Struthio camelus: one gene and its partners. The protein of the gene in region 1 purifies or fractionates together with the protein of each later gene. This does not show direct contact. Links are inferred from orthologs where the notes say so. Each region holds a gene or a part of one and is shown in the gene's direction. Other genes may lie near its edges. The genes, in order: PSMB2, PSMD5, POMP and PSME4.

Evidence for each region.
Region 2: the proteins of PSMB2 (region 1) and PSMD5 fractionate together in Homo sapiens (co-fractionation; 3 studies listed by BioGRID). This does not show direct contact. The link is inferred for Struthio camelus from reciprocal best matches to the Homo sapiens genes PSMB2 and PSMD5.
Region 3: the proteins of PSMB2 (region 1) and POMP purify together in Homo sapiens (affinity purification with mass spectrometry; 5 studies listed by BioGRID and IntAct, counting the BioPlex papers as one, with this or other methods). This does not show direct contact. The link is inferred for Struthio camelus from reciprocal best matches to the Homo sapiens genes PSMB2 and POMP.
Region 4: the proteins of PSMB2 (region 1) and PSME4 purify together in Homo sapiens (affinity purification with mass spectrometry; 3 studies listed by BioGRID and IntAct, counting the BioPlex papers as one, with this or other methods). This does not show direct contact. The link is inferred for Struthio camelus from reciprocal best matches to the Homo sapiens genes PSMB2 and PSME4.

What each region holds. Positions count from the first base shown.
Region 1 is NC_090964.1:9,943,583-9,951,106, reverse strand, and holds the start of PSMB2 (proteasome subunit beta type-2), read left to right. Parts: upstream 1-4,524; 5' UTR 4,525-4,672; coding exon 4,673-4,763; intron 4,764-6,466; coding exon 6,467-6,589; intron 6,590-7,088; coding exon 7,089-7,159; intron 7,160-7,524. UniProt on the Homo sapiens protein: Non-catalytic component of the 20S core proteasome complex involved in the proteolytic degradation of most intracellular proteins. This complex plays numerous essential roles within the cell by associating with different regulatory particles.
Region 2 is NC_090961.1:3,081,948-3,088,768, forward strand, and holds the start of PSMD5 (26S proteasome non-ATPase regulatory subunit 5), read left to right. Parts: upstream 1-3,818; 5' UTR 3,819-3,944; coding exon 3,945-4,120; intron 4,121-4,284; coding exon 4,285-4,429; intron 4,430-5,519; coding exon 5,520-5,633; intron 5,634-6,166; coding exon 6,167-6,295; intron 6,296-6,821. Other genes in the region: protein CutA, read right to left, coding at 2,055-2,582. UniProt on the Homo sapiens protein: Acts as a chaperone during the assembly of the 26S proteasome, specifically of the base subcomplex of the PA700/19S regulatory complex (RC).
Region 3 is NC_090942.1:200,249,165-200,256,650, reverse strand, and holds the start of POMP (proteasome maturation protein), read left to right. Parts: upstream 1-4,483; 5' UTR 4,484-4,614; coding exon 4,615-4,617; intron 4,618-6,081; coding exon 6,082-6,179; intron 6,180-7,064; coding exon 7,065-7,125; intron 7,126-7,486. UniProt on the Homo sapiens protein: Molecular chaperone essential for the assembly of standard proteasomes and immunoproteasomes. Degraded after completion of proteasome maturation. Mediates the association of 20S preproteasome with the endoplasmic reticulum.
Region 4 is NC_090944.1:119,473,695-119,481,288, forward strand, and holds the start of PSME4 (proteasome activator complex subunit 4), read left to right. Parts: upstream 1-4,575; 5' UTR 4,576-4,632; coding exon 4,633-4,811; intron 4,812-7,594. UniProt on the Homo sapiens protein: Associated component of the proteasome that specifically recognizes acetylated histones and promotes ATP- and ubiquitin-independent degradation of core histones during spermatogenesis and DNA damage response.

The sequences.
Region 1 (7,524 bases):
TCTCCTCTCCATGCCTTCATTTCCTGCACCTGAAGCAGCAGGAACACGGGGCTCCTTTTCTTCTCTGGAAAGCACTGAACTCCCAGCAGGAAACCTTGTCTAGGCATTACAGTAATTGTAACACTGTCTTTACTAATACCATATTGAGACAGATCACAGCAAAGGGCAAAAGCCAGAGCAAACAGCAGTCAGACTGAAAAATACCCCTCACACCGCAGCTACGTATCATATCACAGCCCCTGCCTGCGGGGCTGCCCTGTGACGGGGACAGCGCAGGGAGCTGAACCTGGGCGTCTCAGGCCCAGTGCACGGTCCAGCCTTGCTTCAGCACAAGGCAGCAGCAGTGTGCCCATGAGGGCACAGCATTGCTTTTCTGGAAGAGGAACGGGAACTTGGGAGCGCTGCAGTGGAGACAGAGGTAGAACCTGTGCAGTTTCCCCCTTCCTCTGGCACATTTAGCAGGCATCACCTACTGGACCCATGACTGTGTCCCCTATAACAAATGTTCTGCTGTTGTATCAGGCAGAAGAAGAAGGGATGCCAGTAGTCAGGCAAATAGCTAAGGGCCTAGAAGTTCAGAAAGCAGCATGCTTGCTCCTGGCTGAGTAACGGTAAACGTATCACAGCTTCTCTGCGCTGCAGATCGTCTCTCTCTGGCACAGCTGTAACTGTACTGCGCGAGAATTCGCACAGCCCCTGTGCCCCTAGGTGTATGCAGACCTGGGATAGACCCTGCGGGGAGCCTTAGTACAGTGTTTTGCTGTTTTACAAATGTCAAAAGCGTGGTAAGTTTGCTAAGCATTAAATTATAACCATACACCATGTGAGCAATCGCATACAGGGTGGCCAGGCAGCTGATGTCTGGCTGGCACAGCAGAATGTGCAGGCCGATCAGGTAAAAGTTAGCTTGTTGCGTAAAGGTAAGAATAACAACTGCAATATCTTGCAGACAATGTGTGAAGGGGTAAAAAAATAACGGGGAAGAAAAAGAGCTGCTGAAAGATTTGCAAAGCCAGATTATGTCTTCACGGACACTGTCGTTTTCCAACTGTTGATGTAACGACTTGTCTGCATTTCCTACTCAGCACTAGGATCTCTGCTGGAGCAATCAGCACCTAGTAAAAAGACTGTGATGTTTTCCTCTGTAAATATCATCTTAAATTAGAACGCACCAGTCAGCCCATGTCACTGGAGGAGATGAGCAATTACTGCCCAGGCCAGACCCACAGCTGGTGTCAGCCGGAACAGCTCCAGTGTCTGTAACATGGCTTGGCAGATTTGTATCAAGCACAGACCTGATTCTCTGGGCTGTACTGAGGACTGTTTTTACTAACTTACATTGTCTCATAGGATTTCCCATATGACTACAACTATATGATTTGTCTGCCTTTGTTTGGAAAACAACATGACAGCTATTCATCCTTGCCAGCTTTTCTATTTACTTTTCAGCCTTCCCCTTTTTCCCTGTCTTAACCAGTCTGTCCTTGCTGAGTTTTCTTCATTGTATATATCATTACACCAATTTGCTGTCCAGGGAGTTACAGCAAGTTAGATAATAAATTAAAGCTGCTTCCTATTATGTGGGTGATCTTTTTTCTTTTTCCTTTTTTTTTTTTTTAATTTTGCAGTTCCTTACAGGATCAGCCTTCCTTCTTAAGAAGGAATCAGTCTTCCAACTGAAAAATACTTTAGTTGCTAGAGACCATGATGGGAGGATCGGAGGGCCAGTTCGCCTCTCTGTCACAGTCTCTTGCTCTCTGTGCTCCGGTCCTGCTTTGTAACGCTGGGATGGTTCAGCTCCGTAACTTATCTGGACCTAGTGGGAAAAGATACTTTGAGGACCACGGAGCCTGTGGATATCTCAGTATCCTGGACATAGGATCTCAGCATATCGGAAAATGGATATTGTATATCAGATACCTCAGCACACTTAAGAGTTTTATGGAGGCCACTTATTAGTGCTGTGCTATTTGCAGCAGTTGTGCATGGAATATCCCTTACCAAGGTCATATGGCCACATACACGTGCATAACTACAGTATTTGTCTTGAAAATAAAATAGGCAAAGACACATTTGATTTTAAGGCATGCTGCAGCCTGTGCAATTTCCCTTTAATGGCAGAAAACATTCCCAGTTTCTGCTAGGCACAGATGTCTTGCTGTCCTTATTATACCAACGTAGTAATGTTAGAAATGCCTTCACCCTAGGAAGAGAAGTAGGTGTGTATTGTATGTATGTGTGCTTCCTAAGCAAGGAAATTCAATCTGTCGAGAAAATTCAATAACAACCTTAACATTTAATTGTACCCTAGGGCCCAATAAAAATCAACAAGGATGGTAGTTGTTGATTTTTCGTTAACCTTCTCTTAAAAAGGTCTCAAAATACGACTGCTTGGACTGGCTGGCTGTATGCACATGTGTAATATGTACAAGGGATCTAAAGGGAGAAACGTTTTTAAAACTTCAGATTGGATCCACGCAGCAAAATACACTTAAGAACTGGCACAGAGCTGGGCCATTGTTAGGTATAAGAAAGCATCCTGTTTTGATTTATGCACGCAGCACTCAATTTAACAAGTGTAGCTAAAGGCAATTGGAAAACAGTCAAAATGGTGAATTTGCTGCTTACACTCATTTATACTGTTTCCTAAAGACAATTTGCTGTTGCTTTTTGGCATGTTTAGTATTTTTTAAACCACACAAAGGTTATGCCCAGTTCTCGTAATTACACAGTGACTTTCTTGGTATAGGTGCAATTGGGCATTTGCCATGTGTTGCAGCCTCCAAAGTTTTATTTCCTGGGGCTGCATCCTTTATGGTGACTGCGATGGGGTTTGTCATGCTTCAGCGGGCCCTTTCATTATCATGGTGCTGCGTCTTTGTGGAGCTGCACTTAGTGAACATATTAGACGGGGCTCAGGCAGGGACAGAGTCTAATCAATAAACTAAGTGCCCGTTGGAGTTACTCTGCTCGTCAGGATAGTGCCTGCAGTTAGACAACGTCCAGTCAACCAGGGCATTCGCTTTGTTTTTCTTGTAATTAATTATCTATGTTGTGGTCACACCTGGAGGCCTCTGGGTGCTGCAGAGCCACCTAAGAGAAGATATTTCTCCTGAGAAATTTAAGTAGATCGAGAGCAGGGAAAAAAGAATAAGGGAATAGCAGAGAACAGCATTTGCTTTTCAGCAGCTGTCTGAACTGCCCAGCCAGGCCATGGAATTGAGTAACATCGTCCAAGGTCTCTATCCGAGCTCATGGATGACTTCTGAAGCCATCATCCGATACGAAAACCATCAGACGCTTCTGAAGCTCAGAGTTCAGGAGCTTCCCCTTGGTGGCTGGCATGGACACGTCCGTCAGAAAAAAATCCTTTATTGACTCAACGAGTCAAACTTTACAACCAGCCCCTTTGACTACAGGGAATCCTGGCTCAGGATGATGTTCAGGGCGGCAGGAGGGACCCTGGACCGCACGATAACCCGCTGTAGCCGGCCGGCTCTAGCCGCGGAGCGCAGCAGGAGCTGCAGGGAGCCTCGTGCAGGGGCTCGGGGCTTGGCTCCGCGCACAGCTGGCATGGCTGGCTATTTCTGACACAGAAAGATGGGCAGCAGATAAATCACTCCACTGTTCCTGGAAGGATTTCACTGCCTCTCTTCACAGCTCAGTTCCCTTTGACTACATAGATCAGAGGCTGCAGCACTGCCAATCATTTATCTCTGAAAGAATTTGTGCCTAAGGAACAGTTGCCTTCCAAGCAGGGTTTATAATTTTTCTTCTTTCTCTCGGATCTCCAAAGAACTTCAATAGAAAGCAGATCTAGCCATCTGTTCTGGCAGGGACAGCCAGATCGGTTTGGTGTTATTTCAAAGCGCGTGGGGCAGAAATGGGATGTGCAGTTATCCCCACCTCGTTTTCAGCAGATCTCCTTTAAGATTGGTCCTTGGAATCGTGTTCTTTAATAACAAACAAAGTATATTTTGGCCAGAAATAGTGCCAAGGACCCAGACTGGCAAGACTGTGGTCCCATACCAAGACATCCACCCGACAGGGGGATGGGTTTGCCTGAAACCTCCATCATCCCCGCAGAGGGCCGGGCCGGCTGTGCGGGAGTGCCCCAAGCCCTCGCGCCCTCCCCAGAGCTGCGCTCCCGAGGCAGGGGGACCCCCGGGCCCGGCTGGCCGCCGGCTGGGCTCGCCGGAGCCACCGGGCCTCGCAGAGAGCCGTGAGGAGCCGGAGGGCGGCCGGCTGCCCTCCAGGCGCTGCTGACGGCCAGGCCAGCCCAGCCCCGCACCCTTCCCACCGCCGCTGCCCCCGGCGAGGCTCGTCAGGGCGAGGCAGGTGATTAGCGAAGAGAGTTATAAAAAGGGGGGAACCGCCCCCGGGTGGGTCCTGAGCCACCTCACGGCGACGTGACAGCGGCCGCCCCACTTCCCGCCCGCCTCAGACACAGAGCGCGCTGCCCCGGACCACGTGACCCCCCTCCCCCCCCCCACACACCGCGCGGGGCGCGGCTCTCGCGAGGGCCGGCGACGGCGGCGTCATCGCCGCGCGCCCCGCGCATGCGCGCGAGCGGGGGCGGCGTGACGAGGAGGAGGCGGCGGCGGCGGCCAGCGGCGCTTCGCTGTGTCACGGCGAGGCCCGGCCCGGCGGGGACGGCGGAGCGCGGCCGGCCATGGAGTACCTCATCGGCATCCAGGGCCCCGACTACGTCCTGGTGGCCGCCGACACGGTGGCGGCCTCCAGCATCCTCCAGATGAAGCACGGTGAGGGGCGAGGCGGGGGCCCGGTGAAAAGGGAGTACTGAAAGAAAAAGCCTCAGGGAAATGAACCCGTTCGTGTAGCAGTAGGTACCGCAGCACCAGATCTACCAAGCCAATTGTAACGTCTTTTAGTTTCTTTACCTGAGGGAATAAACTAGGGGTTTCTCGTGCCTTCGAATTTCTCCAAAATGTGTTTTTTTCCACCCGCTGTTGCAATAACGTGGACTAGAAGCCTTGTTTACAGGGTATAGCGGCCTTTTTAATTTAAATACAATGTTTTTAGGAGCTCTTATTTTAAAAAAAAAAAGTGCACTGCAATATCGGTAAACTTTCAGCGTTAAAGCTAGCAGTGCTGCTACCTGAAGTATGTCAGCACATACAAAACGCATAGGTGACCTCTTTAAGCAATATGTTTTGTAAATTTACATCCTTGATGCCAAATGGCCTGTTGATTATCTTTCAGGAAATATCTTTCAGGATTTATTTGGTTTTGTTTGAGAAAGAAAAACCCCAACTTTAGTTATTTGTGTAGAATATTGGCATTTACTAATATTTACCTCAAACTCTCAGTCGGTTGAAAAGACTGATCAGACTCAAAAGCAGACACTGAACTCTCAAGGCGTGCAACTTCTCTACAGTTTTTAGGTGCTTTAACTCTTTAAATTCTATTAAAGGTCTGTGGTGTTCCGAACCTCTTGCAACTGAGATTATTCAGCAGTATTTAGTAAGTTGAAAGTGAGGTTCAGATGCTGGGATTTAGTTTGTTCTCTGGACCTAGCTTCAGGATTGGGAAGTGGTCTTCCTTTTGCACGAAGAGCTGTTTGAATTCATATTTGTCTCACCTGAGCAGTAGCTTGCTTTAACTAGACAAGATCTGAGTCTTAGAGAGATCACAGAATTGTCATCTAGCATTGTTGTTATGGCAACTTGAATTCCTGCAAATTTGAAACTGTAATTACAAGTGAAAATTTCTACTTTACTGTTCATTATTTCCAGAATATTTCAGTGGACTGTTTTGTAATTTGTAATCAATATTCAGATGTTTGCTTTTCTTTGCTTAAAAAAGGAGAATAGTTAAATATTGGCAACCAATGACAAGCCAGAACATTTTAAAGCCACATTCATCCATATTGCTTATATTTAAAGCAGTCCTGGATAGCAGGAGGAGGGAATCATTTTGACATGGAATTTGGTTCTGTATTTGTCATGATTTTTTTGGCTTAATGTATTGATAACTTCTAGCTTTATACTAGATGAAATTTGTTTATAATGCAGTATATTCAGATAAAATAGAATAGTTACCAAGCAAAGTCCTTATTTGTGAACCAGGAGCACATCATGTAACGTGTTAAATTTTATCTGAACAAAACACTCTGAAATTTTAGTCATTGTTTCATTCTAAGTAAGATCATATGTTCCTCGAACACCTCCCTTTGAGAGAAGCACTTAATGTATTTCATCTTTGTTTCTCTTGGTGATGTGTTTAACACGAGTCTTGCATACTACACTAACAATTAATTGTGAGAAACTGAATGTTCAAGTTTACTCAGGAAGACTTTTTGGGTGGCATTCCAGGATATAACGGTGTTATCAGAGTCTCTTAACTTGACACATAACAATTTCTTTCAGAAGCGTTTTGATTCTGGTGAAATAATTTATTCTTTTCATGACCTTGGCTTTTGATGCTATTTTTTTTCTTTGCCTAGACCATGACAAAATGTTTAAAATGAGTGAAAAGATCTTACTCCTGTGTGTTGGGGAAGCTGGAGACACTGTACAGTTTGCAGAATACATCCAGAAGAATGTTCAACTCTACAAAATGAGAAATGGTGAGTGAAGGGTGAGAAGTGTTACTGAGTGAGGGTTTGAAAATGCAGAGTTAGTGTAGTTTGCAGTTGCAAGTTGGAATAGGTTTGAATATATAGCATAAACCAGCATGTTTATCCAAAGCCCATCTAACCTTGTTGTAATATGAATGAGTGATATGGTAATAGATACGTTAGTAAAATATTTCTCTTAATACGTCCGTTGCATGACAACGGTTATCGGATTTTCTCATACACTTAAATCAAAAATTCAGGCTACAGGCATAGTACTTTACCTTTCTGAAGCTGTCCATTTTAACAATCCATAGAGACATGAGCGATCTGAACTTTGCCCTTTTTATGCAGTTATTATAATTAGTTTCCAGAATAAACTGGAATTAGGCAAATTACATGACGTCACATGTCATTCAATAATATCGTGTTATTTCAAAACAGGCGAATCAGAAAGTGAAACATGGATATGGATTTGTACTGTTATCAAATATATGCATTTCTTCACCAGGTTATGAATTATCTCCTACTGCAGCTGCAAATTTTACACGCAGAAACCTAGCTGATTACCTTCGGAGTAGAGTGAGTAATATCGGAAAGATTTTGGCAATTTGAAGTATGTAACTGTCCAATTTTTTCTCACTTCTTAGCAAGTTAGTAGTATTACTTTGTGTAAATAAGAGCAGCTAGCTTAAAGCTCTCTACAGTTACATTTGTAAAAAATAAAAAAATAAACTCCAGAAAATATTACTTGTCAAAATATTTTTATCTTAATAAGCTTGCTTATTTTATTTGACCTAGAATGCTAAGGTCTGACTAGTTTCTTCAGGTGACTGCTTTGGCACTCTAAGTGTTCATCTATATTTTTATCTATTCCAAACAAAACAGATGGAAGCAATGCAAAGGGAGAACAGAGCAAAGGAAAAGGAGAATTGCAGCCTAGGATA
Region 2 (6,821 bases), on another chromosome or scaffold:
TTCAGATTCTTACAAATGCCTGATACCCAGTTTGTTGCAAAAGGAACGGCTGCCATTCTGTCTCCAAATCTGACAAGTGCAGCCCAAACCTATTTACAGCAGGAAGTCCCACAAAGTCTTCAGGTCTTTAGCCCTGAACAGCCCAGTAGCCTCCTCTGTAAATTTGTGTGTCTATCAGCTTGTGGGCCAAATCCGTCCTCGAGGCGAGCGCACCTGACTGCATGGCTGCTTGGAGGATGATGGTGGCTGTGCCTGGCTTGACTGAGAGTAACGAAAGCCGGGGGACCCTGGTTCTGAGGTGGTTTTGCTCATCCTAAAATACCATGTCCTGAAGGCTGCCATGCTAGAGTACATACTCCGTGTCTTCAGAGAGGGTGGGGAGCAGCACTGTAAGGCAAAGGGAGGCTCAAAGTTTTGTTGCCCATTCGGATGTTCATGGGGAACACTCAAGAGACAAACTGGAGGCACAGGCAGGCATTGCTAGCTCACTAAGTTTAGCTTAGCAGCCACCTGCTGCCAGGACTAGGGAATCTCTTCCCCAGACTACGTGGCCCTTCATAGGCATTTGCTTTTCCTCTACGTGATGTCCTGTTGTGCTACGTTTTGGGAAGCCAGATCAGACCCATACTTAGCCTGTTTCCCTAAATCCTGTGATTAGATCAAAAACTACATCTCTATTGGAAAAATAGAAAAAAGGGCCCTGGTTTGTTTTAATGCAATCCTGCTAGCCCAGGATGATTATTCTGTTCTGCTGACAGATGTTTCACAGTCCATCCAGGCTATGGTACAAACAGTGCATAGCAGGTAAGGAAGGATAAGACTGAAATGCAGGCTTTGGTCTTGTTTCCTCTTAATTGCTTGGTACTAATAGTGAAGTCAAGTTTGATCCTTTTGGGCACAGAAATCCTAATCGACACAGCCCAAGTCTGTACGGCTGTCCTCGTCTCACTGGCCTGCAGAGAACAACAGTGCTCTCTCTCTCTCGACTGGCAGTACACTGGCAACGAGTCGGTTTTGCTGTACAGCAGATCCCGGTTCCTGGCAAGTCCCTTAGCTTCCCATTGTATTCACGTGCCATAAACAGTCACTATAAATATTTATTCGATAAAGCAGCTCAGCTTGGACTTTGCTAGGATAGCAAAGTTTAATTTGGTGTGCTGAGTAACAGCAAACGAATGGGTGACTGCACCCTCTGCGTGCAACGCTCACTGTCTCTGCACAGTTGCTCTTCTCTTTGTCTTTTGTTTTTTAAATAAATAGCATCTGTCCCTTACTCATCTGCAGTGATAACAATATTTTTATAAGACTCAGAATATATTCCTTTTTCCCTTTTTTCCACCCTCATTTGTCCTCTAAAAGACGTCCCATTACAGGGTAAATGTCATAGTTTTTTTAAAAATTATTGATATCTCTCTTCTCACCACAAACACAGGAACTCTTTTCTGTTTAGAAAACGACTGATGTTTTATATTGGTTGTCTCCTTTTTTTCAGCCCATTTGAGGAAATGCTCTTTGTTATCATAAGGCTTCTCATAATAATTTTCAGAGCTTCTTTAGTGTTCTTTTGTCCCACTAAGCGATTTAACAAGTATTATGCAACAAATCACAGAAGTTACCCAGACAGTTATAAGCCAAAAAGGGATAGGCTGGTGTACCTATTTTTCCAGATTAAAATGTAATTATGTTCCCTGCTCAGGGGAAAAAAAAAAATCCATCCTGTGCAGCATGGCAATCATTAATCTTCTTGGAAGATGTTTGTGCATATGATGAGGAAAATCCCCATGAACATTTGTGAGTGAATACTAATACAACAGTGACCCATCTCTTGCACTTTTTTTTTGAAAAGAAAGAGAAAAAAGAAAGAAAAGTATGCTGTTTTTTTCAGCATAATTGTATTTGCCAAGCGGTGGTGCAGAAGTGAAGGAGTGAAACTTGGGCACCCGCGCCTAATAATTTGAATAAATTCAGAACTGCCAAAATGTTAAAGTGACCGAAACTGAAAAATCCACAGCGAGATTGTAACTATTGCACTGAAAAGCAGGCTGAGATCCCACCTCTCCTGCAAGACCCCTCTTTTTCTGCAGAGCTGCCCTTGCAAAGGGGTGAGTGGCGGCGTTCCTGCGGCCGCCCAGGTCGCGCGCGTCTGGCTCCCCGGTGGATCTCCCGCGTCGCCTCGCGCGCAGACAAACGCCGTCGCTGTTCCCAGCCGCAGGTCCCCGTGTCCCGCGATGTGGCTCCCACTTACCAGCAGCAGGGCCAGGCGGCCCGGCCGGGAGCAGGTCTGGCTGCTGGGCGGCTGGCAGCGCTGGCTCAGCCACTCCATCCTCATCGCGCCGGGCGAGAGCCGCCGTCCTGCGCCGTCCCGCCACCTGCGCTGCTGGGAGCGCGGCCGGGGCTGGCTGGGAAGGCTGGCCGCAGCCAGCACAGACTCCTCCTCCTCTTCCTCCCCGGCTGGCACAGGGCTCGCCAGTCGGCTGGATGTCCGCCGGCATCACGGCCGCCTCCAGCCCTGTCCCCTCCCTGCAGAGCGGGGCCAAGCAGGTGCCGGGGCCTGGCAGAGCCAAACGCGGGGTCTGGCCCATAGCAAGTCCAAACACACACTCCTAATAGCGCTGGTGCTGTTCCCCAAACTACCTGCCCCAAAATCTGCTGGAGAAATAAATCTGTTCCTCCCAGGGGGTGCTCCGAGACACCTGGCGATCGCCATTCAGCATCGGTGCCTTAATTTTCCCATCGGTAAAATCGCTTTTTTCCCCTCAGACCTCATATTATTGCAGCTTTGTAATCTTTGTGTAGCAACTGCTAGCAAGCCGATAAACTCGGTTATGCTGTTTGGCCCTAAAACGTTTAACAATATTCCTTTAAGCGATCTGGTGCAGAGGAACAAAGAGGGCCGTTCTTTCTCAAAATATAACTTCGTTACGTTCCTGCCAGTTCTCGTAAGCTATTAGGAGGATGTATTCACCACGGCATTTCTGGTGCCTGGATTTAGATCAAAACGTCTGACAGTCGTACTCCTGCTTTGCGTCCCCGCGGACAGCCGCCACCAGGCAGCGGAAGGCGGCCAGAGCCGCGCCGTTTCGGTGACGTCGGGGAGACATTAAACACCGCAGAGCGCTCAGAGTGCCTTGCGGCACGGACAGAGGCCGGTATGTGCCAAATTCAACCATCTTCCTCCCTGTCTGTGGACTGAACTATTTTTCTTCTGCTGCTATAAACCAAACCCGGTGCTTCTCAGCCGGTGCGGCCTGCCCACGCCGGGACGGAGCTGTCGCGGTGACGCTGCACTTCCAAGGCAGCGACTCCGGAGCGGTGTCCAGGGTCGAGGCGACCGGAGGGGCGGCGAGACATCTGCTCGCTGGGGGGGGGGGGGGGTCAAGCGGGGAACCGCGCTGGGGGGCTGCGGGAACCGTTTGGCTCCGCTGAATTTTTCCAGACCCTTGGGAGCTTTGCTGACGAGAGGAAGGTGGCTGTGCCCGTGCCTCCCGCGATAACCGCCTGAGGTGTTAAAAAACTCCCCGCCTGGGACATGGCCGCCTCCTCCCGGGCCTCAGCACCGCCTCCCCCCCAGCTCCTCCAAAAAGCGAAACGGAGCTGCGGAGCGCGCAGGCCCTCGGCGCAGGAAGGCCCAGCCCCGCTGGAAGCGCTCCCCTGCTCCTCGGGGCCTGACCTCGGGGCTGCCGGCGCATTTCAACCCCCCACCCCGACAGCAACGCTCCTTCCCCCGACGGAAAAAACCGTTGAGGGGCGGCTCCCCCTCGCGCCCCGCCCCTTTCTGCCCCGCCCCTCCGTGCGGCCCTTCCAATCAGAGCGGGGCCAAGGAGGGAGGGGCGGGGCTCGGCCGCCATTTTGTCGGCGGAGGCGGCGGACGCGAAAGGAACCCCCTGGTTACGGCGCGGCGGTTGCGCGGGGGAGGTGGTGGCGGCGGCGGCGGCAGTGCCAAGATGGCGGAGGCGGCTGTGGCGGAGCTGCTGGAGCGGGCGTGCCGGCCCGAGGCGCCCCTGGAGGAGCTGCGGGCCCTGCGGCTGGCCGCGCAGGCCGTGCCGCCGGCCGCCCTCCGCCCCTGCCTGCGCGACGCCCATTTGGGCGCGCTCTTCGGCCTCCTCAGCGCCGGTGACCGGTGAGCGCGGGCCTGGCCTAGGCCGGCCCCGGCGCCTCCCCTCTGCCTTCCCCATGGCGCTCTTCCTCTCCCCTGTCGCTTTTCCTGCCCTTCTGGGAGCGGGGCCGGCACGGCTGAGGGCCTCGGCCGTGTCTCCCTCCTCAGGGTGTCCGTGTCCCTCTCAGGGAGCAGGTGTCTGCGTGTGTCGCCATCCTGGAGCGGCTGCTACAGGCCCTGGACCCCCTCCACCTCATCCGGAACCTCCGAGAGGAGCTTCAGAAAGGCCTTTTCCATCCTGACGACTCCGTGAAAATCCTCACCATATCTCAGGTATGGTTTCCTGTCCCTGGCCTTCCAGCTCGGCCAGGGCTCCCTCTTGGGTCAGGCTGGGATAGTTCAGTCTCTTACTGGTACTTTTTTACTATGAACTATGAAAAAAGCACTGTATTAAGTGTTTGTATGGGCTCCTGCAATTTTGGGCACCTACTGTGCAATATGTAGGTATATAGTACTTAATGGTGTGACTGGTAAATATAGTATGTAAAACTGTGTCTTGACACAGGTAACGTGTAAATTGATCTTCTGTGTGTCATGGACTCTAGTTCTTTGTAAAATGCTCTTAGCCAGCACTGGCAGCAGGTGCTGCAGGAATTAAATACAACAACAGTTTTGCTGTTCGGGATGCTTTGAACAATATTGTGAAAATACTGAAAAGGAGTAGACTGTTTCTAGTAACTTGGTATTTGTTGCCTTAGTTTAAAGGAACAGAACTGAGGAATAATGTAGTTTGGAAGGGAGCTCTGGGGGTGTTGGATCCAACCCCCAGCTCAAAGCAGAGCCAGCTTACAGCAGACTGCTCAGGGCGTTATCCCGTTTTGAACATCAAAGAATGGAAATTCTGCCTTTCTGGGTAGCTGTTCCAGTGCTCGGCTGTTCTCACGGTGAAAAAAATTTGATCTTAATAGTAGAATTTACTGTGTTGCAATTCGTTGCTGTCTCTGTGCACCTTCAAATATGAGTCTGATTGTGTCATCTTTAGACTCTCCCATTATGTAGCTGAAGACAACACCATGATTTCCTCTTAGCCTTCTCTTATTAACCCAGACCTTTTAGCCTCTCCTAGTGCACTCTGTGCCCCCTAATCATTTTGGTAGCCCTTCACCAGGCTCGCTCCAGTTTGTCAATGCTTCCTCGACTCTTCTGTGCAATTGCAACTGGAGTACAAAGTGTGCCCAGTTCTGGAATCCCCAGTACAAGAAAAAGTTGAGAAATTAGAACATGGCTCGTGATGCGGTGACTGGCATATAGACCTCAGATCTTATATTTAAAGCTTTTATTTTAAAGACTGTTTCTCTAATTAACAGAATGTTCGTATAAAGGAATGCAACTAAACTAATAGTGTATTTAATCATGTTCTTAGGTTGGGAGGATTGTTGAAAATCCAGATGCTATTAGAGAAATTATCAACAGTCCTGAATTATTACGGCAAATAATCTATTGCATTGGTGGAGAGAAAATAGCTGTGGCTAAAGAGGTAAGCTTTGTTTTTTGTTTGTGTGTTTTCTCTCTCTCTCTCTCTCTCTCTCTCTCTCCCTCCCCCACCCCCTCCCCTTAATAAATTAACTGATGTAGAAAAGGTATTCTCTGTGGTGGGTACTGTCTGAATAGTCTGTCACCTGAGATGGCATCTCTCTTCCTCTTTGAAGAAAAGAGAGCTTCTGTAGGTTGAAAGAATGATATCAGTTATGCGGTTTAAAAAAATTAACAAGTAGGTGACCTATGTCAAAAGTTGATTAAATGGGGTAGAAAATCTTACCCAGAACTGCTATCTTCCAGTAGCCATTGACCCCGAAGTAAACTCGTAGATGTGAACTTAATGCTTATCACAGTAACTAAAACTAGCTTTCAGCAGAGATATGAGTAATTGTCACTGGAAAAACATATGGACGTTAGAATTTTAGCTGAATAACTATGATTTGGTATGTTAATGGAGCCTGGTTTAAACAGATCCTGGTTTGAGTTTTCTTCCGTGTGTGTCTTACGATGAGCTACTGTTCTTGTTCACAGGCCATCAAATCTCTCTCAAGAATTGCACAGACACAAGATGGCTTAGAGGCTTTATTTGTGAGCAGTTTGTTGAGTGACTTGAAAAATGTCATGGCAACAAATGACATTGTACGGTATAGAGTGTATGAGGTAAGAATGAGATAAATGTTAGCATTTGAGTTGCAGGGGACTGCAGTTCTAAGTTTAAAACGAATTTTAAGAAACTGTAAATATGCAGATTTTTAGCTGCTATACAAACTCTTCATTTATTCTTTTTTAATCTTGTCAAAAAAGTAGAAGAAGGTTAGAGCAATGTTGATTCTTAGATAACATCTTAATTTTTCTTTCTCCCTTATGGTACAAAGACGTAAAGAACTCAAGTGTTATTTACATCTTATTTTCTAATATGTTGTGCTTAGGGTGTTGGAAAGGCTACGCAGAGTTACTGCTAACGATATAATAGAATGCTTGCTTTTCTGAAAATAAAAACAAAACAGTTTCTGCAGTCTCCTCACCTTGAGATGTGAAGCCCTACTGAAAGTTCAGAAGGGGGAAGAAACGGAAGGAGATGCCAAATGTGTCACTCTAGATATGTAAGGCAAAGGAAAAATAATGCAATTTAGGCGTACTAGAGCTTAATAGGAATAGCAATGATTCTTCTGAAGAAAAGAAGAAA
Region 3 (7,486 bases), on another chromosome or scaffold:
GTCAGGCATTTTGGCAAGCTCTTGGGGGATTTTTTCCCTGCACAGTAGCAGGAATGGGAAGTAATGTTCCATTCAAGTCTTTCAGCTGTGACTACTATTAATTGCTTTCAAGGTTTCCCTTAGGAAGATACTCTCACAGGAAATGTGCTTAGTCTCACCTATATGTGCAGGATGGTTATGCTTCTGGGAGGCCAGTCACTCTCTCCAAACTCAGAGAAAAGACAAAAATATCCTTCTCTGAATTCTCATTCTCGGCATTGCCTGTGAGCAGTGAGGTCCTGACTACACGAACATTAGCTAGGTAAAACATGCGACTTGGGCTGAAGAAGTAATTTAAGATGAATATTGCTACACGGGTGTAATACAGCATATTGAAAGTAGATGATTCAGACTATTAATAGAGAAATACTCCCACCAGCATTCTCCTGGTTACTGCATGTGCAGCTTTAGCTTTGCATATACCTTTTTCTTTTTTTATCCTTTGACCCTATTTTTGCCGATCCTCCGAGTGAAGAGTAAAACTACTCTAACTGTGCCACAAGCATCTAATGCCCAGCTAGACTGACCAGAGGCGGCTGGCAAGTGGCGAGGAGGCAGGGGCGGCGCAGCGAGCTTGGCTACCGAGCAGCCCCTAGTGACCGGCTCTCCCCGTTGCAGCCTCCTGCCTTCCCGGCTCCGCAGAAGGAGCACGGAAAACAGAAGCCCAGATTTCTTAGAGTCTGTGCAGGGGACTGCTACAAACAAAGAGGAAAGATTACGGATGCCAGTCACAGACTTACAAAAGCACTGACAAGCTATGAAATAAGTTATCGCTTCAAGACGACAAGGGCCTCTTTCCAAGTACCTTACCTGACTTAGAAAAAAAATTGGCAGTCCTTGTTTCATCTTCCGAAACAGCAACTGAAGACATTTTAGAAAAGACATTACTGTCTCATTTAAAATTCACTAATAATTCATAAATCAAATGATGGAACAAGGGAACGTTGGTATTACTTACCCACGGGTAGCTACAAGCACATTAGTTTTACCTTTCATAGAGAGGTGATAATGGACCTTTTTTGCCATATATTGGACTGTTTGCTGGATTTGAAGGATGAGGATGAGCACGTTTTGACCCAAAAAATCCAGCAAGCTGTGGATTTGCTAATAAACAAACAGGAAAAAATCATCTGCTTTGGCAATAAGTGAGATTCTTTTTTTTTTTTTCCTCTGCAACAGTAACTTTTTTTCTAAATACTTTCACCAGTTTCAGGAAAGGGTGGGTTAGAGTCAGGGGTTTCCTGAGGCTTTTCAGAACATGGTTTTAACGTAGCCATGTGTTTAGAAGAGCCCCTAGAGAGTCTTGTTTTGGAACACTCTGACGCCTACACATTATTATCTTTGCTACGTTTTGCAGTTTTGTGTGAAATTTATTTTTAATCTTTAACAAAACATGCTCTTGTTTATCTTAAATTCAGAAAAGGTTTAATAATTTAAAACAAAATAACTTTTAAAATAATTAGATTTACAATGAATACTGAAACATAAAAGTATAAAGCAAGTTAACAAGAAAGGGCTTCTTAAAGATCAAAGAAAATGTGTTTATTTGATTTGATTAAAACAAATAAAAAGTACTTTCACTTTAACAGGTTATAACTGGCTGTTGACAGAAACCAGTGAAAGAGTTTCCCAGCCCCACAGGATAAAGGTTTGCTTCTGGTAGAGGTTCACGTACTCAGAACAGACTGCCCACTGATATGGCAAAGGAATTATATTTTGAAAAGCGACAAAGCTACATCAGTATTCGTAAATGTTGACACAAAGACAAGTTTCCTTGGACAATATACTCCTTTTGCTATTATTAAATAGGACCCATGGTGTTAAAAAATGGGTATTTCTCTCTCTTCCATCTATTGATTTTAATATATAAAAAAGTTCCAAGAATGGGAGAGGTAAAAGTACCGTTTAATTCAGTGGAGAAGCTGGACATACTAGCTCAAAATTACGGAGCAGTAGAGTCCCTAGAGTAGAGCTGGCTTCCCTAGATCCTGGGCAGAGCAGGCCTGGATGTGCCGGCCTCTGCCCAGCCAGCCGGGCCTCTGTCAGCATGAGCTTCCAGTCCACCTGGAAAGTCGCTGCCACAGACTTCAGCGGCAAAAGTACAGACCCCTCATGACATGATGCCGTGCTGGCACCCAGGCAAGAAAAAGCTAAGCAATCGAGGCTGGAATGCATGTTAAGTCAGGCTGGCTAAACCCTTGTTTAACGAGGTTTTATGTTTGTTAATGCCAATTGAATTGCCGAAAGGGTATTTGAAACAAGTGTGTATTTTTAAAGAGTCAACACTTTCCTCATTTCTAAAACATACAAGAGTTCATGGTCTATATATCTCTTGAAATCTCAGTGAAGTCCCTCAGCTAAACCAAAGAGACCAGATTTGACATTCCAAAAATGCTGAGGTAAGAAACATGCAGAAAGAAATTTAAAACATGCATACATTTTGGGCCTTCTTTATGTAAAATGTTGAAAGGAAAACCTTTTATTCCTAAAAAACCCAATAATTTTAAGGTTGTCTTTAAAAGCAACATGTGAAATTCACCGCCAAAACTTTACTAGGGTAATAATTTTAGAGCAGTAGCAGTAATTTTCACACTAATTTTAGGGTGTGCATACGGTCTAAAAGAAAACCTCTTCAGCAGCCACAATCATTGCATCCCACTTTCCGTCTTGTTACCAGCAGCCTGGAAGATGTTCTCAGAGAGACTGCCCGGGTCCGCAGGGCAGCAGGCCAGCTCAGGAAAGGGTAGCCATACCCATTGCTTCTCAGTAACTGCAGCGCTCATGGCTCACCACAGGTTCTCATTTCTGATAAAAAGTTTGATCAGCCTGACAACTGCTCCTATCATTCCTATTAACGTGCAGTGGAGACACAGATACGGTCATAGGAACGAGAGATATTACAGTCATCCAGTACTAAGATATTCACTGTAAGATCGTTAAAACAGGCTGTGCAAGAAATCCAACTTTGCTCATATTTAAAACAGTTGGTAATTTGATGAGAAAACATATCTGTGATTTGTGTTTATGTCTGGGAGTTTTCCCTAGCGTGAAAGTCTGTCTTTAAAGGAAAACCAGATCTTTCTCGCAATGTGCATTCTTTTATGTTAGTTATGCAGCCTAAACTATGGATTGCAGTGATGTCAATAATGGTACATGGAGTGATTGTATCCTGTCTGTGTCCTGCAAGAATGACTTTGAAAGTTAGATGTTTCATCTCCGCAGTCATATCCTGATCAACAAACTCAGTCAATAAATAAATACATTTAGTGACAAACCTAGCTTTTCTGTAAGCTGCAGTTAAAACAGGAAGTTGATTTGTTTTTTGTATTCACATCTATTCTATAATAATGAACCCAGCACCACAATATCCGAGTACCCATTATAATTACAAGATCAGAGAAGCCTTTGTGGTACCCATTTTCCTAAAAATAATTTTAAAACCCAGTCTTACATTTTTATTCTTTTGAAGTCTTTGCTTTAAACCGAAGACCTTCACGTAAAGGGCCGTAGCTTCAGTTCGGAAAGATTTTTGAACTGGTGACCTGATTCTGCTGAAGAAAGAGGATAACAATAAAAGGGTATGAATTTCTCTGTAATTAAATATTATCCAAAGCTGAGTGTGCTATCAATACATATATATATATATATATATATATAAAACTCCCATGTTAATATCACTTTTTCTACAGTACGTAGTGTTCATTTTAACTGCCATGTATGAAATTCGTAGCAGCAGGGCAATCTGGGGCAAAATGTGAAACGTGCTGAGCAAACCACAAGTCTCAGAAGACATATGTGAGAGATATGCTCGATGCACATCTGGAGCAGCGCAGCAAAATCTGTGGCAAATTTTCTAACGATGGTTGGAAAGTCTTCCAAAATTATTTAAGTACGCAGTTCCTGCGTTGTTACTGTTGCTGCTGTGAACCTTTCCAAAGATAAACTTGCCGTGGGCCGGTCCTTGCCGGTCACCGGCAGAGGACCAAGTCCCTGGCAAAACAGGGCGCCACAAGAGCCGTCTGCGCAGAGGGAGATCTCTCAGGGGCCGGCACACAGCCTAAGGCCGCGTTCAGCTCGGGGAGCGCGGCTCCTTCCCTCCCTCTCTCGAGCCACCAGCGCGGTGACGCTGTGGGGGTCACTCAGGCGCCTCCCCTGGCTGGCACCACCTGCCCGCCATCTGCTGAGGGGCGACAAGCTTGGCCACAGAAAAGCGCAAGGCGACAGCCCCCCATCAACCAGCGCCGCCACACAGCTAGGGCGGGCAGCCAGGCGCCAGCGGAGGGGACTTCGGGTGGCATCAAAAATGCTGTTTTTTGACGGCCAGCGTCAAACGGGCGCGGGAAGCCCCGCAGACCCCGGGCAAGGCCCTGCCAGGCGCCGGCCCCTCGCGCTTCCCGCCGCCAACCGCCACCGCGGGGCAGCCGCCGCCCCGCCCCTCCCCGCCAGGCCCCGCCTCTCCCCGAGCCAGCGCTGGCTGGGGCGGCCGCCGCTCCTTGCGCGTGACGCAACGCGCCGGGGGAGGGGCGGAAGTGAGGAGGCGGGGGAGGCGGAAGCGGAAGCGGGTGTCGGGCCAAGATGGTGAGTGAGGGGTCGGTTGTGCTGCTCGCGCCGGGGTGGCGGGGGGAGGCGCGCGCCTGCTCCCTCCCCTCCTCCCCGCGCCCCCGCCGCGGCCGTTGGGTCCCAACGGTCGGCGGGGCGGCGGCCGCCGCGCGCCGCCTTGGGGCGGGGGGCGCCGCGCTGTGCTGAGTCACTGGGGGCCGGCGCGGCCATGGCGGGCACGCGTCCTGCCAGGCGGCGGCCCGCCCAGGGCGGTGTCCCCGGCTGGGAAGGCGCCCGGGACCGCTTGGTTGTGGTTTAAAGCCCCTCTTCTGGGAGCTGGGGAGGGAGAGGGAGGCCAAGGCCGCCGGTGGTGCCGGCACTGCGGGAGCCCGGGGCTGGAGGGGCGAGCGGCAGGCGGGGTGGCGGAGTTCGCGCCTCCAGCCTTCGTGGTGTTTACCGGGGGTGGGGCCGCCTGAGCCGGACTGGTCGCTGGCGTGATTTGAGGGGTTCGCTTTTTGGAAGTACTTCCCGGGTTTCTGCTTTCTTTTTACTTTCTTTCACTTCGATCCTCCTAAACCTTTGCCCCTCTTGTTATACCTTTTAGGTAATAGTCTTTTTTACGTGTTTTTGTTTGCAGCAATCTCAGATCAGATCACTATTGAGTACATTAATTCGTAGATGCTTTAGACACAGTAGAAGACATTTTAGGATTTTCTGATAGCCTTTAGGTTACTGACAGTCACAATGGTAGTATATTGTTTCAAGAGACTTAACTGTGAGCATGTGTTTTCTCTTGGACCCAACAAAACTGATGGAAGAAACACCTGTGCTGAGCAGTTCCTTGCTGTCACCATCCGGAGATTGTTACTAATTGATCTGTTGATGGATTAGTTTGTGTCAACAGTCCTAAAAATCCTTCAATGTCATCAGCTGTTGTAGCTTTAAATCGCTGATGCGGGTTAAGATGGTTTTACTTACTAAGTCCATGGAGATGTGTCTTATCTGGTCGTCTGCTGCAAGTTGCCATTTCTTCTTTGCTCTTCCAGTTAACTGATGTAATAGAATGGATGAATACATCTTATTCTCTTTAGGACAACCTTAAATGGTAGATAAAACCAGTTTGGTTGCAATTGATTGTTTCTGTACTAGCATGATTGAAGGAATACTGAGACGTGTCCCATCAGCTGGGCAGTGACCTGACTTCTCCCCACCCATCGCTGCAGCACAGGGTTGGGAATGAACAAGGGTAATTATGGTTTTTAACTGCTTTAGCCAGCTCCCAGAAATGTTTAAGTATCATCAGACTCTGAAAGCATTCTAACCTAGTGATTTTTTCCCCATCACTCCACCCAAAGCAACTCTGAAGGCTAAGACTTGTGCCTGAGTAGTTTGAGGAGTTTTTGAACTATTTAGTAAAAAGTTGGTAGAATCTTCGTAATTTTCATTTGTTTAGGGGCAAATGGGGCCTGGTTCTGTAAAAGTAATCGTCACTCTTTGTTCCAGAATTCCAGAGGAGCTACTTCTCTGTTGAAGGATAGTATCCCGATTACTGAATTTTCACCTGCTGGACCATTTGGAGGTCATGATCTTCTGCGTAGAGGGTGTGCTTTATTGTTTCTTCTCAAATTGTGCAGTAGTTGATGTGAAGCTTAAAATATATGAAAAAACATATTAAATATTTGTGGTTTTGAAGAAGTTCTTTGTAGATGTATCTCTTAACCTGTGGCTAAAGCACCTGTTTTCAGTCAGATTGTCATTCAAGCTTTAATTTTCTGTGAAACATCACTTCCAGAAGTAGATAATGTTAATGGACTTAGACCCATTTGATGCTCCTTTTTAGAGAATAATGACAAAGTCTTAATCATTATGAAATATGTGCTAGTTTATATATATATGTATGTGTGAATGTGCCATAGAACTGCACAAAATGATTGATTTTGAGATTGGTACAGAAAGTAAATTTTATAAAAATAGTATTTCTTATTAACAATTCATGTGAGTGGCAAAACCATGTACATGTATTGGGTATTGAATCTGCAACAACTTCATGGAGTTTAAAATGCAGGTGAAACAGCTATGGGGAGAAAGTATGTGCAGTATTTAGTCTGAAGAAATTTAGAAAAAATTGAGACTCTTCTACATTAACTGCACACCTACTTAGTTTATTGATATGTTTCTCTATTTCTGAAGCGGGTCAAGGAGAAAAAATTATCATTCCTTTATATCAAATATAAAACTGAAGGAAAAGAAGATGCCTGAGAATCTTATACAAGGTTTTGGTTTTTTTTTCCTTCTGACAATGCTATAATTAAGAATTCATTTCTGCTTCTTCGCCACTAAGCATCATTTTTGAATAGCTGAAATTATGCTAATCTCATGTCTCTGTGGATTGATGTTTATATCTGGAATTAGTATTGCACTGCAACTTAAAGAATGGTGTTCTGATTAATTTTCTGTTAATTACATTGTTTTGTCTACATTTTTAGCTTTACAAGCGTGAAAAATGAATTGTTGCCCAGCCATCCACTGGAGTTGTCAGAAAAAAATGCAAGTATAACATCAAATGTAGTCATCCTCACTCTTAACTAATTAGGAAGTTTAATTTAACAGTATGGTTACCTGCACTGCTTTGTGCAGCAGCCAGGAATGAGTAAGGTCCTGTTTTTAATTAAATAAAAATGTTCGACAGCAATAACATTTTATTTATGCCAGTAATATTCTTGCCAAATTTGTTTAACATGTAACTTCCCACTTGTGTGTCTCTCCACTTCAAGTATCTAAGCGGACTTCCAAGTTGGGCTTTATTTCAATAACTTTCATTTCAGAAAACTTTTTAAATTAAAAGTTGGTAAGTTAGTTCTGTACGCAGCCTCTATTGTTAGTGGGGAGAGAGAGGGACACCTGCCAC
Region 4 (7,594 bases), on another chromosome or scaffold:
GGGGAGCATACCCTTCCAGAGCAGGCAGTAATTACAGACTCAGGTCTCCATCCTGAAAGGGAGCAGCTCCTTGCAATTAAAATGCCCTTGTTAGGGTAAAGATTTGCAGGCAGTACTTACAGATGCTTATTCTTGGAGAAAGTAAGTTACTACCACCTTGCCTGAAAGTTGGTGAGCAGCATGGCAGCAGCTTCTTCAGGGTCTTTGGAGTCTTTCACCACCTGCTTTGGATGACAGACCGACTGAGACACACTGGGATAAGAGTAAGTCTGAGGACGCTTCTGTTTCAAAGAAGAAAGCAAATTATGCTACTGTATTTTGTAGTGGGGTTCTCTGAGGTATGGGGGTCACGGACCAGGACATATCCTGTTGGATTGGGTGTTATTTTCCAAATTGCAAAATACACAGAAGCCTGTCACTCACCAAATTCCACTCTTAACTTAGGTCAGAAAGGACAGATGGGTCACTAAACAAAACGTCCACGTGGGAAAAGAAGTTGCTTGAAAGATGAGATAGTAGAAACCACAGTTCAGGCTGAGTGACAAGTTTCCTAAATACTGATGACAGTGCTGGTGTTAGCTGACCTACGGCAGCAAGCCATCCAACAAGGGAACGTGTGAACAATGTGCAACTTGACATAAGCCCCTGTTAACGTCTGAAATTTCTCATGAATGGAAAGACTGTATTTTTTTCACAACTTCAACACTTAACTTGGATTCATCAAATCTCAAGATTTAATGCCAAAAACAGCAGGTGGCAACCATATTTAGTTTGCTCTCAATTCATATTCCTCCTACTTAGTAAGAGAGGAAAAAGCTATTGATGCAAGCAGCACAGACGGATTCCTTGTTGTGAAAGCTAGTTCTTTATCATCTGACTCGGGAACCAAATGTGCTTTTACTCACTGCTACAGCCAAAACACATTGCAAACTTGAAGAACAAATTTATTTTTAACTCACTTGGTAAAACATATCTGTAAAACGCATTGTTTTTCTCCTTTTAAACAGTAGAATGTTAGCATACTAGGGGAAAGAAATGGTTCATTTTTTTTAAATTGACAAATGTTATTAGTAAATTAATCAATATACAGAAAATAGTTGGAAAGTACAAGTACTATATATATGCTTTTATGTATGTAATTACAAACGGACTCAGAATCATCTCTTTCCTCATTGCAGATTCTGAAAACAAGAATCATATTTCTCAGAATGAGAGGGTCAGATTATTTAGCATGATGACTTTAATGTGATGATCTTGTTGACTTCGCACAATCTTTCCTGAAAGGTAGGTGTTTAATTCCAGTGGAAGGCACTTGCGTGTCTGAGGTAAAACAGTCACAGATGTGGAGGTCTGCTGGTTCAGATGAAATGAGCTCCCTGAGGTTGGGAATGTTTATTCAAATTGAAAAACACCTAGAAAAGTGTGAAAAATTAAACTCAGGCCCAAAGGGCAGAAACTGTGGTTTACATATTCAGATATTCCCTGAATATCTACAGTTCTAGTTTTTTGTGATAATGTAGAGATGAAGCAACAGAATGCAGCTTTGAAGTTCCTTACATATCTGCCGATTTCAATTTCAAAAAATTGGACTATAACTGATTTTTTTTTTTCCTTCCAAGTCTAAATAAACTCTGTCATTCTTCAAATGTAATGAACATTTTTCCACACTGGAAATTGCTGTTTGGACAATCCACTATCACAACTGAGTAGGAAAAAAGATTTGCCTGTAAATGTTAGAAAAGAAGTAATTTCAGATTTCTTAGGTTCAAGACACATTTAGAATATTCCATAGACATTTTCACTTACCCTTAACCATGGATTTTTTTTTTTAATTTCAGCTTCTGAGCCACTTAATCAATTGACTCTTATCTAAATTTATGATAAAACCATTTATTTCATGGTGTTCAGATACACCTTTTGTTTATTCCTCTTTTTACCAGCAAAATAATAAACAAGACGTAGTTGTCCACATAGAAATTTGACCATCAAGTTTCATTTTTTTTAACTCCTGAACACAAATTCATGTATAGATTGTTCTGCATAGCGTAAATATGAGGCAAAAGAATCTAATTTTAAAGCCACTATGAAAGATGTCAACAAATACCCTCCAAATCACAATTAAAATTATAGTAAAAATAGACATAGGTGACACAAAATCTTTTAGGAATTGAAAGATATTTGAGAAGTATTAAACACACAACAAAATTGTCATATTTTCCCTATTAAAGGTATAGGTCTAGGAAAATGAGAAAAGGTAGAATTAACTTTGTTTCTTCAGTATCTGTTCAGAAAGGCTGGACCCCTTCTAATACGTTAGTCAAGCGAAATTAGCAAAGTATCTGTTTATCCTAGTCTCAGCCCATAATGCAGAATAATGACTTTCACTAAAGCTTTGAAAAAAGGAGTAATTCGGTGTGCTAAAAGTGGTTATAAACTTTTGCTTTCCCAAAACGTTACGGGAAAAATTCATGATAGGAAAGCTATGGAGTAGCATAGAACCACCTTTAGGCCCCTGGTAAAACCATATTTATATAATGCTGATTTACTAGTACTTTTCTCCAAAAGAACATTATAGCACTGATTATTACTTGACCCCTGTAAAGCAAAGTAGTGTCACTCTTCAGACACATGAATATAACACGAGATCATCTCCTGCTGCACAGTTTTAGTATTGCTCTGCACTGATAACAAAAATAATATCTGAGACAGAAGTCGTATAAGGATATGGAGTAAATATTTTCTTCACGAAAATGCCATGGGAATATTTGAGCATCACAGCCTTTGCTTATCTTACTTTGGTTTTCTGTGGCTTTCCTTCTCATTATAAAATGCTTCAGCATTTAGTTAGCCATTTAAAAAAAAAAAAATTAAGCAGAGCTAATCTGAGTATAAAGATCAGAAAACAGGATTTGCCCTTGTCAGCAGCTTTAAATCTAATCAGCTTGCAGCTGTTGTATAGTCATGATGTAGTTCTTGAGGGGAAATTCAATTAACAATTATATTTAGGAGACAGCTGGAGATAACAACCATCAGTACTGTTATCATATATCCATCACAGGCTTTATCCTACACCCATAGAAGTCAACGGCAGGACCAGGCACCGCTGAGCTCCGCTTTACTGACTGGCCTTATTATTTCAAATAAATATCTTTAACAGACAGTTACAGAATCTGCTACTAAACTCTGTAACTGATTATCGCCAGTGAAGAAGTCCATCCTCATTCCACGTTTATACACCCTCTTTTAGCACATAATGAACAAGAAGGCAGGGCAGCAGAAACACAACTTTCTGCTATTATGCAAGTCTAAGCATCAAATCTCTATGATCACCTGCACTGTGCTCTGATGGCTTCGGACCTCTAGAAGTCTCCCTGCTTCTCGATCAGACTGCAGGTATTGACACTCTCAGCAGTTTATATGCAGATTCTTAAAGGCTGTCAAATACCAGTCTCCAAGGTACTCAGACATCTAACTGTGAAAATCTCAGCCCCTGTGAGGAAAAGGTTTATGTAGTTTATACAGTTTGTATCAGTAATGGAGCATGCATTTAGCTCACAACTGCTAATGTAATGGATCTGGATACCCAATTTTAACCAAAAATAAATACGTTTGGGAACAACTAGCATCCAACTGTCCTAAACTGCAGAAGTTAGAAGAGAACTGAAAGATGAATGTTTTTATTATGATCTCTATGTTGGGATCAGAGCAGCTTTACAAAAGGGCTCTTTAATAAACCACAAAGCCACAAAAAGTGAATTCTAAACTTGGGTAGGAGTTATGGCCTTTCCACAAAGTCATTTTATTTCGGTGCCTAGGGCAGTATCTTGACTACAGCCACCCCTTTTGCCCCAGTTCTCTTGAGTCTGCCACAGGTTATTTGGATATCCCATTTGTCCCTAGTTGACAGAATTAGGAGATACAGCTACCGCTCGGCACAACTGTCAGAGGCAGAGGGAAAGTGCTGACTGTGGATAGTAAGGAAAAGCATACCCCAAACAGGCTAACTTACCGAATTGCTGTGCCACTGTTACTGACACAGGAAAAGAGCAGCGAACAAGCCCAGGTAGGCTCCCAGAATAAAACGTGACAGCACCTCTTGAAAACTGATGCTGCTTAAAGCAACTAAAGGGCAGTACAAATGAAACGGTACAAAGCACGAGCTTTGTTCTCGTTAATTCTAGGTTTGTCCCCAGGCAACGCCTGTGGTGTCGCCGAAACCGAAACGTAACAACAGGTCGCCAGATGATCCAGCGAACGACCCTCCCCCGCCGCCGCCGCCGCCGCCCGGTTCCCCTCAACTCCGGCGCAGGCGGCTTCAGCGCAGCCGGTAACGCGGGACGCGGTCTCCTGGCGGGCACGGCCGTTAACGGCCGCCCTGCGCGCGCGCTCCGCCCACCCGGGCCCGCTGCAGGGCAGGTGTCCGGCCAGCAGCGGCGCTTCCCCGCCGTGCTCGGGGACCCCCCCCGCCCCAACTCCGGCGCCGGAAGTGACCTCGGCGGCGCGGGGCGGCGGCCGTTCCTTCGGCTGTGTCGTCACCGCGCACCGCTGGGCGACTCGCCGGGGGGGGCCGAGCCGGGGCCGGGCCGGGCCGGGCCGGGGCAGGGCGCAGCGCAGCGCAGCGCAGCGCCGGCCATGGCGGCGGCGGCGGCTCCGCAGAAGGAGATCGTGTACAACAAGCTGCTGCCGTACGGGGACTGCCTGGAGGCCGAGGCGACGCGCTTCCTCGCTCAGATCAAAGGCAACCTGGCCCGGGCCGTGCAGCTGCAGGAGCTGTGGCCCGGCGGGCTCTTCTGGACCCGGAAGCTCTCCACGTGAGTGCGGGGCTCAGCGGCCCCCGCCGGCCGTGAGGGGCGGCGCCGGCCGGTCCGCTGCCGCCAGGGGTCGGCAGCGGCGGGGGTGGGAGCGCGGCGAGCCGGGCGGCTGGGCCGGCCCCTGGCGGGGAGCTGCGCGGCCAAGGCCGGCGGCCGTTGTCTCGGGCCGCTGATAACGGCGCTGCCCGCGGGGGCCCGGTCGGGGGTGGCGCAGGTTCAGGCCGCGGGTTGAAGCGCCGCGGAGCGGGGCCCGAGGGCGCTGCCGGGCGCCGTGAGGCGAAGCCGGGGTGACTCACGGCTGCCCGGCGGGCCAGGCGCACGCCTGAGGGCCGGGCGGGCCGGCGCTCGGCAGAAGCGCGTTGGTTTCCTAACGGTTACTCGCCAGCGAGAGCGGGGCGGTTGCCCTCGGCCGCTGCCGGGGCGCCGAGGGCCGCGGGGGGGGGGCTGCGGTACGTGCGCTGAGCGGTGCGCGGCCTCCGGGCCGGAGCGAGGCGGGCTCAGCCGGCCTCTTGCACAAGGCCACGCAGTGCTCCGAAACGGGAAACCGGGACAAAGGTGGTTTCGTTTCCCAGAGCTCCTCTGTCGTCTTAGAAGCTTTCCGAGTTGTATGAATCGAGCTGTTTTCTTTTTAAATGCGCGCTTGACCACCTGTTTCTTTTCTTGCCGTTTCAAGCAAGTTACGGAAGATACTATCTCTGTTCACAACTTTTGCGGTAGGAACATGAAGTCTTTCTGAAAACAGGCTGCTTGTGCTTTTGTTAGTTCGGCGCTGGAAGGATTAAATTCTGGTTTTGCTGCTGGGTTAACAAAATTAGTGCCCTAGTTTAAAATAATAATTAAAAAAAATGCCTCTATGTCTTGCCTGTACTGTGGCAAGGTGCAGTTTATGTTGGCTCTAATGTGAGTGCTGACAAGATGATTTTTATATAGATTGAAAACACAGTGTTTTCATACCAAGCAGAGTGTGGAATTCTCTTAGTAAATTTTACAAGACTTACTTACCCTTTTTTTTTTTCTTCACATGTGCTATTCTGGCCAGTCTGGCACTTAAAAAATGGTGTCAAATGACTGCTGTAGTTTCAATCGGCACACCTTATTCCTCTGAATATTCTCTTCTTGATGAACGTTCTGTGTCCCTTCATACTTGGTGTTTTCTATGAGCTAGAAATGGCAGAATGCGTGCATTTGGTAGAATTTATATTCATTTGCAGTTTTACTTCTTCTATAAGGTAGGGTTCTTTTTTTTTTTTTAAGTATTGGGAATTTAATAAATATCTGGCTGTCAAAAATCTGGTTGGTACACATGTATTGAAATGTAAGTGACCTTATGTTTGCCAAGAGGCATTCTTAGATAGAATTACATTGATAGTTGCGAAATGACTCACATGTTTACATTCAGAGACGATCTGAACCTGCTTGGACCCAGTTCAGTACTCTTCCCCCCCCCCCCCCCCCTTCCGTAGCCATCTGCTAGCTCATGCCGTTTACAGTGATGCCTGTTGTCTTTGGACTTGTGGCAGAACTTCATATGCTAATCAAGCTGAAATAAACTGTAGCAGTGCTTAGTAAGAGAAAGATGTACCTTAGATAGGGTAGTAACTCCTGCGGTTACCTGCTTTGAAGATGTGCGGGTATAGGTTAGAATTAACCTGCTAGTCATTCTGTAAACTGTAATTACTGTTATCAGTTTAGGCTTCAGGGCAGTGAATTTAACCTGTTGAGAACAGCTGCTATGCTAACTTTATGAATCACAAAAAGGGCAGAGGCTCTAATTTCTGGTTTTCCACCTACTCTTTGAAGTTTAAATTTACTGTGTGTGTTTTATAACTTGTCTGATGCCTGTTTTTCCCAAGACTTCTTTGTGGCATATTACATGCAGTAAGACTGAATACGTTTGGATGTAGGCAGGGAAGAAAACTGTGGGGTTGGTTTAAAATAAGCTAGTATAGTTAACATTAGAGATATTTTGCTTGCTCAGTTTAATTTGGCAAAACGGTTTGGTGGGATAAAATATTTCAGTAAAAGTTTAGCTCTAGATGAAATACTTCCAAAACGTACAAATATGGTGTTCTGATTTGTCATGCCTAAGTCAAATTATAACATAATGACAGTAAAACCAGAGCTTTATTATCTGTTCGTAGTAAGTAGTTCATCTCATTGTCAACTTTATACCTTTTTTCATGCTAGCCAGCTATAATAAATTGTGCATTTGTTTAACCTGAAAATGATCAGAATTGTCATAAGATCTCTGCCTAGTTTATTACATGTCTATATTTTAAAAGTCAGTATTCTTATAATATTCTGTGAAGTAATTTATAAATTGGAATTATGGCTGGTGTGTCTTGAATCTTTCTTGTTCAGATAAAAATGCTAATATAGACAGACAATGTAACATATGCAAACATATGAATTAAAAAAAAAAAAAAAAGCATGCATGGGTTATATACCTGTATAGCTCTACCTCTTCAGGTACACTGCAACTTTATACAGCTGTGCATAGACTCTGGAGGTATGAGGAATGAAAGTGAAAACTCAAAATGGGAATTTTTTATACGAGTTACTGTTTCATGATGACAGCTGAACCAAAAATCTTGTTATTTCTTGTAGTGCAACAGCTGAGAACATGACTTACATGTAGTTTTCTTAAATGCAGCTGCTTCAGCTGTCTGATGTCGTGAATTGAGTAGGGAAAGACGTCTAAAACTGGGATTTGTTAGATATAATGTCTGTCAGTTAATTTGCATAATTGTTCTTGTATGCATAATTTTCAGTGATGTAAATGG